Arabidopsis thaliana: one gene and its partners. The protein of the gene in region 3 purifies or fractionates together with the protein of the main gene of each other region. This does not show direct contact. Each region holds a gene or a part of one and is shown on either strand. Other genes may lie near its edges.

What was found.
Region 1: the proteins of CDKB1;1 (region 3) and CYCD4;2 purify together in Arabidopsis thaliana (affinity purification with western blotting, with the first as the bait; one study listed by BioGRID). This does not show direct contact.
Region 2: the proteins of CDKB1;1 (region 3) and CPN60A purify together in Arabidopsis thaliana (affinity purification with mass spectrometry, with the first as the bait; one study listed by BioGRID). This does not show direct contact.

The regions. Positions count from the first base shown.
Region 1 is NC_003076.8:3,279,717-3,284,080, reverse strand, and holds CYCD4;2 (cyclin d4;2), read left to right. Parts: upstream 1-1,527; 5' UTR 1,528-1,738; coding exon 1,739-1,972; intron 1,973-2,114; coding exon 2,115-2,201; intron 2,202-2,276; coding exon 2,277-2,375; intron 2,376-2,457; coding exon 2,458-2,662; coding exon of another isoform or gene 2,663-2,709; exon of another isoform or gene 2,710-2,803; coding exon 2,804-2,919; intron 2,920-3,314; coding exon 3,315-3,470; 3' UTR 3,471-3,594; downstream 3,595-4,364. UniProt on the Arabidopsis thaliana protein: May promote cell division.
Region 2 is NC_003071.7:11,924,607-11,930,223, forward strand, and holds CPN60A (chaperonin-60alpha), read left to right. Parts: upstream 1-1,839; 5' UTR 1,840-1,996; coding exon 1,997-2,050; intron 2,051-2,364; coding exon 2,365-2,548; intron 2,549-2,645; coding exon 2,646-2,767; intron 2,768-2,841; coding exon 2,842-3,049; intron 3,050-3,134; coding exon 3,135-3,280; intron 3,281-3,362; coding exon 3,363-3,669; intron 3,670-3,754; coding exon 3,755-4,206; intron 4,207-4,290; coding exon 4,291-4,578; 3' UTR 4,579-4,882; downstream 4,883-5,617. UniProt on the Arabidopsis thaliana protein: Binds RuBisCO small and large subunits and is implicated in the assembly of the enzyme oligomer. Involved in protein assisted folding. Required for proper chloroplast development.
Region 3 is NC_003074.8:20,057,728-20,062,215, forward strand, and holds CDKB1;1 (cyclin-dependent kinase B1;1), read left to right. Parts: upstream 1-1,943; 5' UTR 1,944-2,154; coding exon 2,155-2,782; intron 2,783-2,876; coding exon 2,877-2,946; intron 2,947-3,149; coding exon 3,150-3,288; intron 3,289-3,430; coding exon 3,431-3,523; 3' UTR 3,524-3,761; downstream 3,762-4,488. Other genes in the region: FIP37 (FKBP12 interacting protein 37), read left to right, coding at 1-22, 143-190, 568-621, 896-1,057, 1,203-1,272, 1,356-1,411, 1,514-1,669; AT3G54190 (Transducin/WD40 repeat-like superfamily protein), read right to left, coding at 4,032-4,273, 4,374-4,488. UniProt on the Arabidopsis thaliana protein: May control G2/M (mitosis) phase progression. Plays a role in regulating seedling growth in darkness via regulation of hypocotyl cell elongation and cotyledon cell development. Plays a role in stomatal development. Required to suppress endoreduplication.

The DNA of each region.
Region 1 (4,364 bases), on a different chromosome or scaffold from region 3:
AATCTGTGCAACATAGGCTGTGGAAGAATGCGACCATAGAGAAGCACACACGTATCAAAGAAGTCGAATCTCTCATTACGCAAAGAGATGCAAAATATCAAAAGTGTACTTGGACCACTTTGTCTGCATTGCATGCATGAAAACTATTTATAAAAATAACAGTCTTTGGTCGAATTCTGAGACATTTAGTTGTTTTCTCATACATTACTCCAACTTTTCTTTTTCTTCCACCAATCTTTTCAGAGAAAGATACTGTAAAAACCAAAGTTGCTCGCTCACACGTGATTCCAGTCCACGTTCATTATTTATATAAAGCTTGTCATGTTAAAAGCTTTATATGATTTTAAAGATGTTTATTCTTGAAGTTTAATTGTATTTGGATTTTCTTAAGTAGTGGTATTATTTTTACGGGTTTCTTTTCTTTGAACTTTTTGGTTTTCAGTTCTTTTGTTAAGAGTTTTCCTTTTCAGTCTAAATGCAAATAGATGAATGGATCACAATATGTGTGCTCTCCTTTTAACTATTATGTAGCAAATGATTTTCGATAGCCAAAAAGACTTGAGATGAGTCTCCTCATGTTAGTTATCTAATGATTGCATATGACAATCACATGATCTTATGCTTATGCAGGGGGTTCTGAAAATTCGGTGTTCTCAAGCTAATTATATTGTAGTCCACGAATATGTTTGGTGCAAACGATATTCACACTTCTCACCTCACCAGCAACAATATTAGCTTCTAACTAACAACACTAATATAATGACTAGATATTCATTGACTTGGCCTCTACTTCAAATTCCTAATTCGTTTCCATTTTGTCACTGAAAAATATTTTAATGCAATTTACTATCTAATGTAATATTTTCTGTTCATAATTTGATGTGCGTTTCCATGATAATTTTGTATTAAAATATAAAATAATATGAATATATTCTAACTAATATACAAATATATTCTAACTAATATACCAAAAATTACATAAAATGTCTTTCGTATTCATATTTATATATTCATAAAATAACTAGAACACAAATGACTCGCTCATATTTGCAATTTCTTATCATCTAATGTAATATTTTCTGTTTAAAACTTGATGTGTTTCCATAATAATTATTTTTATTAAAATATAAAATAATTTGAATATATTGTAACTAATGTACCAAGATTTACATAAAATCTCTTGCATATACATATCCATTAAATTTGTTGAAGTATAAATCTAAGATTTTTTCTCAAATCAAAACTTAGAAAACGAATGACTCGCCATATTTTCAATCTAAAAATAACGAAAATCTAAGTTGTTATACCATATATCTTAAAATGTATCCAATAAAGAGCAACCATTGACCCTTTTCACATAAATTTTCCTTATTATATAGTTTCCCATATTTTGAATAAAAATATTTATTTCCATTATAAAAATGCTAATTTTCTTATCTTTTTAATCTTTTGTTATCCTCTCTCCTTCACATTTTATCTCTTACCAAAAATAACATTTTCTTCTCTTACAAATTACAATATTAAAAGCTCCCATCTCTCTCTTCTTTCTTTTTGGTTTTGACCCAAAGCAAATTCTACAATAGAGCAAAAATAAAATTAGAAAAGACATAAAAACAGAGACCAAATCTTTTCTTCAGTTGAATCTCTTATACTATAAAAACCATATTTTTTCCTCCAAATCCTGTAACAGTAAAATTTGTATAGATCGAAAGAAAGCTACAATTTTTGACGCTCTATAATGGCTGAATTTATGGAACCAAATCTTGTATCCAATTTTGATGATGAGAAGAGCAATTCTGTCGACACAAGATCGATTTTTCAGATGGGTTTTCCTCTGGAGAGCGAAGAGATCGTTAGAGAGATGATTGAGAAAGAGAGACAACACTCACCGAGAGATGATTACCTCAAGAGACTGAGAAACGGAGATTTGGATTTCAATGTCAGAATCCAAGCCCTTGGTTGGATTTGGAAGGTCAGTAAATCAGACAAAAATTTCTTCTTTGTTTCTTCTGTTGACTCAATTCTTACCCAAGTCAATAATCTGATGACTTTGATATGAAAAAAGACATGACTTTTGCCTTATCTTTGTTTTGTGTCTTTGATTATTATTACAGGCCTGTGAGGAACTTCAATTTGGACCATTGTGTATATGTCTAGCAATGAACTACTTGGATCGTTTCTTATCTGTTCATGACTTACCTGTAAGTTTCATCCTTGGCTTAAGATTTTATTAATCTCTTTGGTTATGGATTGAAAGGTTTATGATTCTTGTGTAGAGTGGAAAAGCTTGGACTGTACAATTGTTGGCTGTTGCTTGTTTATCATTGGCAGCTAAAATAGAGGAAACTAATGTTCCAGAGTTAATGCAGCTGCAGGTTCTATTAATAATCTCATTGTCTCTTATTGTGTAGCATTAAAACCAAAGTTGTAACATTGTAGTAATGATGACATTAATAGGTTGGAGCTCCCATGTTCGTGTTTGAGGCTAAATCAGTTCAAAGGATGGAACTTTTGGTGTTGAACGTATTGAGATGGAGGTTACGGGCAGTGACACCGTGCTCTTACGTTAGATACTTCCTGAGTAAGATCAATGGCTATGATCAAGAACCACATAGCAGATTGGTAACTAGATCACTACAAGTGATAGCCAGCACAACCAAAGGTGATAGATTAGGTCTCTTCTTTTTCAAAGGGGTTCTGGTTTTCTAAACCTCAGTTTTGCTTTTGAGTTATGGGGTTATGGACTTTTGGGGTTAGAAATGATTGATGGTGGTTGTGAAAAAGATTGTTGATGTGTGGGCAGGTATTGACTTCTTGGAGTTTAGAGCTTCAGAGATTGCTGCTGCAGTTGCTCTTTCTGTTTCTGGAGAACACTTTGACAAATTCTCCTTCTCTTCTTCCTTCTCAAGCCTTGAAAAGGTAAGAGAAGTCACCAAAAGTCTCCTTCATTTACAAAAGTAGTGGTTCAATAGATTGTCAAAAATATGGAAAATCATGAGACATAGATATAGGCATACATTAATGCACACATTGTCTTTTAATGTCCCCTCTTTGAAATCCCTTTTTATTCGAAAAACTAGTTTGTGTGTAGACCAAAAAGAAGAGTTCAATTATAGTCTTCATGTTTTGAAATCTCGTGACACATTCACATGTTGGTAAAAATGTTATTTTCTTTTGTTTTTGTCACTCCAAAATCTAATGGTTCCAATCACAATCAAACTAAGTGACTTGGGTCCTCGTAGGGACCAAAAAGGGGCTCAAGCTTTACGTTTTACTTGTCTGGTTTTTATGTGTGTGTGTGTGTGTGTGTGCAGGAGAGAGTGAAGAAGATTGGTGAAATGATAGAGAGAGACGGATCAAGTTCAAGTTCACAAACACCAAATAATACAGTCTTACAATTTAAGAGTCGTCGTTATTCTCATTCTCTTTCTACTGCTTCTGTTTCCTCCTCCCTCACTTCTCTTTCTTAATTTTCCTCATCTTCCTTTTTATCTATTTCTCTCTTTTTCCATTGTCTCAATTTGGATTTTATTTAATGAAAAATCACAGAAAAAAATTGCTTTTCTTTTAGCCTGGTAATATTTGATAAAAGCGGTTTAGAAAAATTGCATAATTAAGAAGATAAGATGGTTATGGCATGTTTATGGTAAGTACTTTAACAAACAAAAAGTGTTATGGTTAAGTAAGGCTATTGTTTGGCTTCCCGCCAAATATTATAGCGGGGAAAAACAGTTGAGCGAGAGTTGACTTTTTAATCGCAAGTGCAACGGACCCTTTTTTAAAGTGGCTCGTAAAGTTTTGGGCTTACAATTAGCCCATTTAGATTTTTTCTTCTTTGGAGAAAAGTTTGGGGTTAATTAGGTACAGATCCATTTGTATTATAGGCTCTTTATTCCTCAGAAATGGGCTTGCTACAATAAAATTTTAGTTATGATGATATAATATTAAACTTCAACAAGGTAGTGAGATTATACCCGAGAGGTGGGTGTTACACAACTCAGATCGTTGGTTGTTCAAATCAGCTTGGTGGGAAACCACTTTCGTGGTCGGTGTATGAACATGGGCCTTACTTAGCCTAAATAGAGTCAAAAAGATAATTCAATACACTACTATATTAACTAGACCATATTTGTTTATGCCAGGGCTACTTTCTTTTTGGCTATCATTGACTATAATAACATAATTGTGTTCTTTAGCCTAAATGTTTTCAAACACAGATTTGTTGTACATGGTCCCTTCTGTTTAATGAGTTGGTTAAGGCTCATTATTGTGTTATTGACAAAATGAAATCAAAATTAATGGTACGGCAATAAAAGATATTTAGAAAATGGGATCGGTGGCTATCAGTGAAATATCAGAGATTA
Region 2 (5,617 bases), on a different chromosome or scaffold from region 3:
CGGAAAAATCGTCGGAGCTCCGGTGGTGAGTTTAGATATGTATGTAAACCGACCGTGGGAGATAGAGAGAGAGACTGAGAGAGACTGAGAGAGAATAATGATTGCGTAAAGCCGTAAAATCTGTAATGGTTTTTTTCTTGACGTATTAAGGTGGGTTTTATCAGTCTTTCTATTACACGGTACTGTACTTACTCTCTTAAAAATCTATTTTGTCGGTTTTTTTCCACGAAAATTATTTTCTTCTTTAAACTGATACACATGTATCAATATCCAAATGAAACACATTTTTATACAAATTGAAACATGCAATAAACTACGGAATATCTAAAAAACAATAAAATTAACGGCCCTAAAATTAATTTTAACTAAATTCTTTAATAAAATAAAATAAAATCATAAGTCTATAAAGTATTAGTTATTTTATGGTAGTTTAATGGTTAATAATTGTTTTTTCATATAGAACATAGGAATGTGGTTAAATTTCAGAATTTTAATACACTTTTAACTTAATTATTTGTTTATATGAGGCACTTTAAGTTTTAGAAAACTATAAACACATATGCAAAACATCAAACCAAATTATGTTTTTGCATGTCTTTTGTTGCATGCTCTATATATCCTAACTATTTTTGCTTAGTAGTCCACTAAATTGTTTCGTTTCAATCACAACCACTCAAGAAAATAATTACAATAGATTACTAAAACAAGTTAACAACAGTGTTATTTATTTACTCTTTTTGTCGTAATGCTTTAAATTACATGTCTCTTTCTTTTCATCGGACAACTGTTAGTGTGTTTTTTTGTACATCAGGACAACTGTTAGTTTACTCATGTTTTCTACATTGTACATTTTGGCAGTCAATTTTACGGCACGGTTTCCATTAAAGATATGGACGTCATCTTATGGTAAGCTGCATCTTTTGAGGAATAATACATGTAGACGTCCCTATTTATAATTTTTGTGTTACGTAACTTCCCTTTTGTTATTAATTAAGTGTGTTTATTTGGTCAATTCACTCAATCAAATCAAACCCAACGCCAAACTGCAACTATTTATGTGATTGACGCTTCAGAGTTGAAACTGCCACTTTTGTCAGATTTATTATCTCACTTCCCAACTTTTCTTTTCCGTAACTAGTGAATTTATTCATGGGAAACTAATTTAATGCATGGTATATGATGCGTACAACAAGCAATACTTATATGAAAAAAGATTTAGAAACAAATTGTATTGGCTTAACTAAATCAATTAATCATGTAGCAATTAGGTGATTTGGAGTCTATTCTCTGTTTAGAAAAGTAGTAACTGTTGTCTTTATGAGAGTTTCTGTTTTACTTAGCGGGTAAATCTACTCTAAGCTAGGTGTTTTCATCCACTTAACATGTATTTTATAATCTCATGGTTTTCACAAGTCTTAAATTGTACTTATTAGTTTGGTCTAAATATTACTCCCTTTGTTTCATTATATTGGATGTTTTAGGGATTTTATTTTGTTTCAGATTATAAGATGTTTTACAAGTTTAAATTTAAATTTAATTTGACTATTTGTGACTATTTATATTTTGCAGTTTTCATTATCATTTTTTTTAACAAAATCTAAATACTATTTTTTATATACAAAATGACCTAATATGTATCCATTTACCTTAAACCTCTTATATTTTAAAACAGAGTGAGTACATTCAGTAAGAGAATGGATAAAAACGAATTTGGAATACACAAACTATAAAAGTTTCTTGAGTACTGTTTCTATTATTGGGCCATAAACAGTGAGACAAACAGGCCCATAGAAGTAGGTGAAAAAGGCTTATTAAGATCAACGGTTCTCTCGTTACGAATGCAAAGAATCTTCTGGATCCTTTTTCTCTCAGCTACTCTCTCCATTTATCTAATAAACCCTAACCCCTCCTCCCACACTATTCGTTTACACTAACCACTTCCTTATCCACACCAATCCAGAACGTTCCTCAAAAAGCTCCCTCCTTTTCTCTCAAAATGGCGTCTGCAAACGCTCTCTCTTCCGCCTCCGTCCTCTGTTCTTCCCGTCAGGTACAAAGTTTGTTCCTTTTTACCTTCCTTAGCTACTTACTAAAGAAGAAAATGAATCATCTTTCATTACTTTGTTTTGATTGGATTTGACCCTTCAGTGTTATCTATTTTCAAAAACCTTTCTCTATCTGGTTTATTGGGTTTTTGAAGAAAGTGATTGAATTTGACCCTTTAGTTTGTTCTGTTTCAATTCAATTGCTTTTCTCTATTTGGTTTCTGGGTTGGTGAGAAAAGGTTAATTTTTATGGGAATTAGAAGAAACTGATTGAGATTAATGTTAATGAATCTGCTTTATTGATGTTGTGGGTATACAGAGTAAGTTGGGAGGAGGAAATCAGCAGCAAGGTCAGAGAGTTAGCTACAACAAGAGGACAATCAGACGTTTTAGTGTTAGAGCTAATGTAAAGGAAATAGCTTTTGACCAGCACTCTAGAGCTGCTCTACAAGCTGGTATTGATAAGCTTGCTGATTGTGTTGGTCTCACTCTTGGCCCTAGAGGTATTTGTTAATATTAGTAGCTCCTTTACTCTTTCCATCTTCATCTGTGTTATTTATCTTTCGACTTATCTTGGTGTTTTCATTTGTTATTCTTAAGGGAGGAATGTTGTGTTGGATGAATTTGGAAGTCCTAAGGTTGTGAATGATGGAGTCACCATTGCTAGAGCTATTGAGTTACCTAATGCCATGGAAAATGCTGGTGCAGCGCTTATTCGTGAGGTTGGTGTAGCTTTGTTATTGTCTCTGTTAATGCTATTTATACGGTGCGGTAATCTGGTGTTGTTATGTGGTAGGTTGCGAGTAAGACTAATGACTCTGCTGGTGATGGGACAACCACTGCGTCTATCCTTGCTCGGGAGATAATCAAACATGGATTGTTGAGCGTCACTTCTGGTGCGAATCCCGTTTCACTCAAGAGGGGAATTGATAAGACTGTTCAAGGTCTGATCGAAGAGCTTCAGAAGAAAGCTAGGCCCGTGAAAGGTCGTGATGACATCAGAGGTACTAACTTTGCAGTGACCTTCCTTGTGATGCAGCAATGTTTGATTTCTTTTACTGATCAATCTGTTCTTTTTTTTTTTTCCAGCTGTGGCTTCTATCTCTGCTGGAAATGATGACCTTATAGGGTCAATGATTGCTGATGCCATCGACAAAGTTGGACCTGATGGTGTTTTGTCCATTGAATCTTCATCTTCTTTTGAGACCACGGTCGAAGTTGAAGAAGGGATGGAGGTATGAGTTTTTTTGTCTTGCTTCTCTTCAACTGTAATTTTATTCACCATTCATTGCCAATGACTAACTTGATTATTTACAGATTGACAGAGGTTACATCTCGCCTCAGTTTGTTACAAACCCTGAGAAACTACTAGCTGAGTTTGAGAATGCTAGGGTATTGATCACTGATCAGAAGATCACTGCGATCAAAGACATCATCCCTATTTTGGAGAAGACCACTCAGCTTCGTGCTCCGTTGTTGATTATTGCAGAGGATGTTACTGGTGAAGCCTTAGCTACCCTTGTCGTGAACAAGCTTCGTGGTGTCCTCAATGTTGTTGCCGTTAAAGCGCCAGGATTTGGAGAAAGAAGAAAAGCCATGCTTCAAGATATTGCAATCTTGACAGGTATATGCAGATTTCGCGTGCGTTTAGTACTTTTACTTTCTCTCTGTTATGGTCTAAACTTTTTATCATTTTGTATGTTTTTCAGGAGCTGAGTACCTAGCCATGGACATGAGCTTACTGGTTGAAAACGCAACCATAGATCAATTGGGTATTGCCCGAAAAGTCACGATTAGCAAAGATTCGACTACCCTCATTGCAGATGCAGCTTCCAAGGACGAATTACAAGCTCGGATTGCTCAGCTGAAGAAAGAACTATTCGAGACTGATTCTGTGTATGACTCAGAGAAGCTCGCTGAGAGAATTGCGAAGCTATCTGGAGGTGTTGCTGTCATTAAAGTCGGAGCAGCAACTGAAACTGAGCTTGAGGACCGTAAGCTTCGTATCGAGGATGCAAAGAACGCAACATTTGCTGCTATCGAGGAAGGCATAGTTCCAGGTGGTGGTGCTGCTTTGGTGCATCTCTCCACTGTTATTCCCGCCATTAAGGAGACTTTTGAGGATGCTGATGAACGTTTGGGAGCTGACATAGTACAAAAGGTAGCATTTAGTTTTTCGGTTCAGTATTTGTTCTGTAACCAATTGTGACTAGTTATCTTATAAGGGTTTATGTTTTGAGTTCAGGCATTGCTGTCACCAGCTGCTCTTATTGCTCAGAACGCTGGAGTTGAAGGAGAAGTTGTTGTGGAAAAGATTATGTTCAGCGATTGGGAGAATGGGTACAACGCAATGACTGATACATATGAGAATCTGTTCGAAGCTGGAGTGATTGATCCGGCTAAAGTGACAAGATGTGCGCTACAGAACGCTGCTTCCGTAGCAGGAATGGTACTGACCACTCAGGCCATTGTTGTTGACAAACCGAAACCCAAGGCTCCTGCTGCTGCTGCTCCTGAGGGTCTCATGGTGTAATCAAAACACAACATCTTATCATCACAATGGCATCTTTGTCTTTTTGCACATTTGTCATCCCCATTTATCTGCAATGTTTTTCTTTTTTGGGGGAATATGAGTAGTTTGTTAACAGTATCGAGAAATAATTATCATCTTTTTTGTCCAATGGAAATTGCAGAAAATGGTTATGTATGCGACCAAACATTTTATATGTAGCGAGAGTAGTTTAGCAGAACAATAAGCAAATATGCGTACAAACTGAATAATGTTCCAACTTACTATACTATTAAACTAGGAGGGAACAATGTTTTTTCATGCCTTTACTAGTTTTCTCATAAAACTTGATCTGGATATTGCACTTCGATGATCTACGAACCATTAGCAGATCTCCGGTGATTCGATACTTCTCCTTGTCGTTTATTGCACAGGCACGAACTTTGACAAGCACAAGACATGACAGTTTCTCTATGAAATGTCTCATTTCCTCTAGCTCTTCAATTGTTCCTTCATATTCAGTTATCTTCAATACTTTCACAGGACATCACAATCCATATATTCTTGTAAAGTTAAGTATATATACAGGGAGATCAGACTCGTTGGAACCACTCGTACTTTGACTTGGAACTGCTCCAAAACTAAAAGAATTTTTGGTAGATGATTATGTATGTATCCTTCTCTTCCTCCTCTTCTTGTTCTAGCTTTGATGGACTAAAATACTAGTCAAAATTTTGCTTAATATATACCCCTTATTGCTTCTCAGAGATATATCTACAAAACCGAGGATCTTCCATTTTGATGGAATCAACCGAGTCTTGTTCCCGGATGCTTGTCATCGCAGCTAGAGATATTCGAGTGGAAAGGATATAGAGATAGAGTAGAAGGGGAAAAATTCTTGACATACATTTTAGCCAACTCTAAGCGTTTAAAGACCGCAACAATCTCTCTGCCCTTCGATCTTGAAGATCAAGAGGTGATCATCGAGGAGTTGAAAGATATTCCTAGGGTTTCAACAACATCTCACCTTTTGTTCATATGAAAATTCTATGGAAGCTTGGCG
Region 3 (4,488 bases):
ACAAGAAATGGCAGAATTGAAGGTAATTCTCGAGAAACTCATTGCCTACCACTTTGATTCCTGACTGATGCTATCACATGTTTTCTTGACCATTACATAGAATAGATGTCGCTAAACACAGTCTTGTATTTTGTATTTCTAGTCAGCTGTTCGCGATTTGAAATCTCAACTCAAGCCAGCGTCAATGCAGGTATATAGTTCTCCCAATGTTTTGATTCTGGAATAATTTATACAATTGTGCCAACAATACAAATCGTGAAAAAAGTTAGCTGTTGAAGTAACTTGGACTTTTCTAGGCATAGTCCGCTTTTTATGCCGTAGTGTACCTTTTATGACGGTCATCCTCGACCTTGATGCATGTAGAGGGAAACCTTTTCCTTGCCTTTTAGATTTCAGTCTGAATACGATGATAAGCGCATGTTTCTTGTAAACCTTTACCTGGCATCTGAATTATTAACAAGTCTGAATAGAAGAAATGGCTATAAATTTTGAATTGCAATGGTCATTTAGCAGCTTGTCATGATCAGATAGCAGTGTAGATTATTTATTCTTTGTTTACCTTTGTAGGCGAGGAGGTTGTTACTGGATCCAGCAATTCATGAAGAATTTTCACGTCTGAAGGTCTGCACCTACTCGTTTCTATTTACCCTTAGACTACTTTTTCATAAGGATGTATTTGTCGTAATATATCCTTAGATAATCCAAACTGTATCTACGGAACAAAATTCCGCTTTCGTTATGAATGGCCTGAAAGAATAATTCCTTAATAACTGATAGCTGACACTGTCGTAGTAGATACAGTTGAGGACGAACATTCCCAACTTTTTGTTAATGTACATTTGTTGCAGTTAAGTAAAGAGTAGATGAAGTTTGATTCCATGTTTCTATTATGCAGAATCTAGTAGAGGAAAAAGACAAGAAGATCAAGGAACTCCAGGACAACATTGCAGCAGTTACTTTTACTCCTCAAAGCAAGAATGGAAAGATGCTTATGGCAAAGTGCAGAACCCTGCAAGAGGAAAATGAGGAGATTGGGCACCAAGCTGCCGAAGGAAAGGTATAGTTTGTTCTACTCTCAGTCTTCAATCTGGAATTATATGAATTATATAGTAAAGCAGTAGTCTTCTTCAACCTTTGTAAAACATGATTCCCTGAAAAGGGTAAAGAAATTGATGCTTGCCTATGTTCATGTGGAATGGCAGATTCATGAACTAGCAATAAAGCTTGCAATGCAGAAGTCTCAAAACGCGGAACTTAGAAGTCAATTTGAAGGTAAGTCATATGTTGATATTAAGTTATAGCAAAGATTTTTGTAGAGTTTGCAATTTGGATTTGAGGATTTTTGTGGAATGCAGGACTGTACAAACACATGGAGGAATTAACTAATGATGTTGAGAGATCAAATGAAACGGTGTTGATCCTTTTCTCTTATCTCTTAATTCCTCAAGATTTTTCTTAAAACGGAAGAATGATTATGGTTTTGTTGGAAATATGTGACTTTGATAAATCTCAGGTGATAATATTGCAAGAGAAACTGGAAGAGAAAGAGAAGGAGATAGAGAGAGTAAAGAAAGGACTGGAAATTGTGTCTGAGCTAGTAGGTGACAAGAAAGATGAAGTTGATGAAATTGATGAAGATGCAAAAGAAGAAATTGCTGGTGGAGAATAGGAATTTGTAGCTTTCAAAAAATGTTTTGTACATTTTGAAGTTCAAAATCACATTTCTTCATTCGTTATCTGTTTCATGAAACAGAAAGTTCTAATCTTCATCTTCTATTAATATGTTTTAATTCGCACCATTGGTGTTTCGATATCGATATGTGGCTTCCCGATATAACTCGTGAAGAATTTGAACTCGTCAACTCACGCAAATCATCTGAGTAGATATCAGATTAGACCAAAATAAGTGAGTCCAATTAGTTTTCCCCAAAAACATTCACAGAGGTCACGACTTTAGGTTAATCTGTTGCAGTTGTCACGAACGAATTCAAAATCCAAAGGAGCGGGAAAAACGAAGTGACGTGGAAGTATCTTAGCGAAAGCATCTCTCTCTCTCTCTCTCACAATCCATCATCTTCATTAATCTGATCAAATAATAGGGTTAATCAAAAGTCCAGAAACCAACACAGTTCAATTTTACGAAACCTCTCAGAAATGGAGAAGTACGAGAAGCTAGAGAAGGTCGGAGAAGGAACATACGGGAAAGTCTACAAAGCGATGGAGAAAGGAACTGGTAAGCTTGTTGCTCTGAAGAAAACTCGTCTCGAGATGGACGAAGAAGGTATTCCACCAACTGCTCTTCGTGAGATCTCGCTTCTCCAGATGTTATCAACATCGATCTATGTTGTTCGATTACTCTGCGTCGAACATGTTCATCAACCATCAACCAAATCTCAATCTACCAAATCCAATCTCTATCTCGTTTTCGAGTATCTCGATACTGATCTTAAGAAATTCATCGATTCGTATAGGAAAGGACCTAATCCTAAGCCTCTTGAGCCTTTTTTGATTCAGAAGTTGATGTTTCAGCTTTGTAAAGGTGTTGCGCATTGTCATAGTCATGGTGTGCTTCACCGTGATCTTAAACCGCAGAATCTTCTTCTGGTGAAAGATAAAGAGCTTCTTAAGATTGCTGATTTGGGTCTTGGTCGTGCTTTTACTGTTCCTCTTAAGTCTTATACGCATGAGATTGTTACTCTTTGGTATAGAGCTCCTGAAGTTCTTCTTGGATCTACTCATTATTCAACTGGTGTTGACATGTGGTCTGTTGGTTGTATCTTTGGTTAGTAGTCTCAATTATGCTTTTATGTTTTTGAATTCGTCTCTCTGCGATGTGATTTTGTATTTATGCTGTTTCAATCTTTGAATTTGTATAGCTGAGATGGTTCGGAGGCAAGCTCTTTTCCCTGGTGATTCTGAGTTTCAGCAATTGCTTCATATCTTCAGGTATTTTGAATTTACCTTCCATTACTTCTTCTGGTTTTGTCCTGTTTCAGTGTGAATTGCATCACTGAATGATATGCTAGCTTACCAATTGAGAACAACTGATTCTATATAGTCCAGGTTTCTTTGACCAATTATTCAATGGATTTAGCATTCTTGAATAGAGACTATGATCTTTACTAATGGTTCCTATTTGGTTCATGGAGGTTGCTAGGAACACCAACTGAGCAGCAATGGCCGGGTGTTTCCACACTGCGTGACTGGCATGTTTACCCTAAGTGGGAGCCGCAAGACTTAACTCTTGCTGTTCCTTCTCTTTCACCTCAAGGAGTTGATCTTCTCACGGTAAATAACTCCCTGATGACCATAGCTTTGTTGCAAAGTTGCTCTAATATTGTTACCTCTTGCTTCTGCTTCCCTCTTTTTTTCCTAAGCTGAATTGCTTGGTTAAATCTTTCTGATTGAGCTTATGTTTGTACAATTGCAGAAAATGCTCAAGTACAATCCAGCCGAAAGAATTTCAGCAAAAACAGCACTTGATCACCCATATTTTGACAGCCTTGACAAGTCTCAGTTCTGAAGTTCATTGCTGTATCTGTTGTCATCGTCTTGGTGAATTTAAACATTTGATCTATCTTTGTTTCCGACACATTAGTGTCTTATGTTTGGTTTAGAGATTTGTAGTCTTTCAGAAGAAACTGGTAAAGCTTGTATTCTCAAGTGAATGTAAAACACAATGGTGTGGTAGCAATGAGATGATTTTCTATCAATCGCTTGTTTTTGTGTAATCATACAAAGTTGATGCTCAACTATCTGAATCAAGTCAATTTTGAAAATTAAAGTGAGACCTTACAGGTGGAATAAAGGGTCTTTCATAGAATTGTCAAAACCCAAATGTTACGTACAATGGTATTAGTGTACACAACTGGCATTCTGACGCGCACACTTGCCCACAAATGGTTTACAACACAGATGGCTGCTCAAAGACACTAAGTTAAAAAGATTTATCGCTACACACAATTGAAGGAAACCAAATGATACATTCGTAGTAGTAGTAGTAGCAGCTAACGATGACGATGTATGTGAAATCAATTGGACCACACATGAACAAGGCCGTGTCTGTTTCCTGTGTATATCTCATTGCGTTCTTCGTCGTAGAAAAGAGCGGTTATGTCTTCCAAAGCTTCAGCTACAGCGTTTCTTCTTTGCTTTGAGTTCTTTCCCATACAATTACTGCTGCTGCTCTCATCATCTTTTGGAGGCCCACTGCTTGGTGTTATTTTAGCTAAGCATTTCCCAGTCAATATATTGCTGATATTGATTGATCCCGCTGGATCATCCCACAAAACACCAATAATCAATATCCATCAATGAGATTTGTTAGGTTATAATATCTGGTTAATATTATCTTGAGGGGTTATTTTTCTTACCATTTCCTTCTATCCACTGATCTTCGGTATCTGCTTTGCAGTACGAGATGATCAGATCTTGATCACTTGTAATGTAGATATTATTAGTGTTACAGTCTGGATGCCATAGAAGATG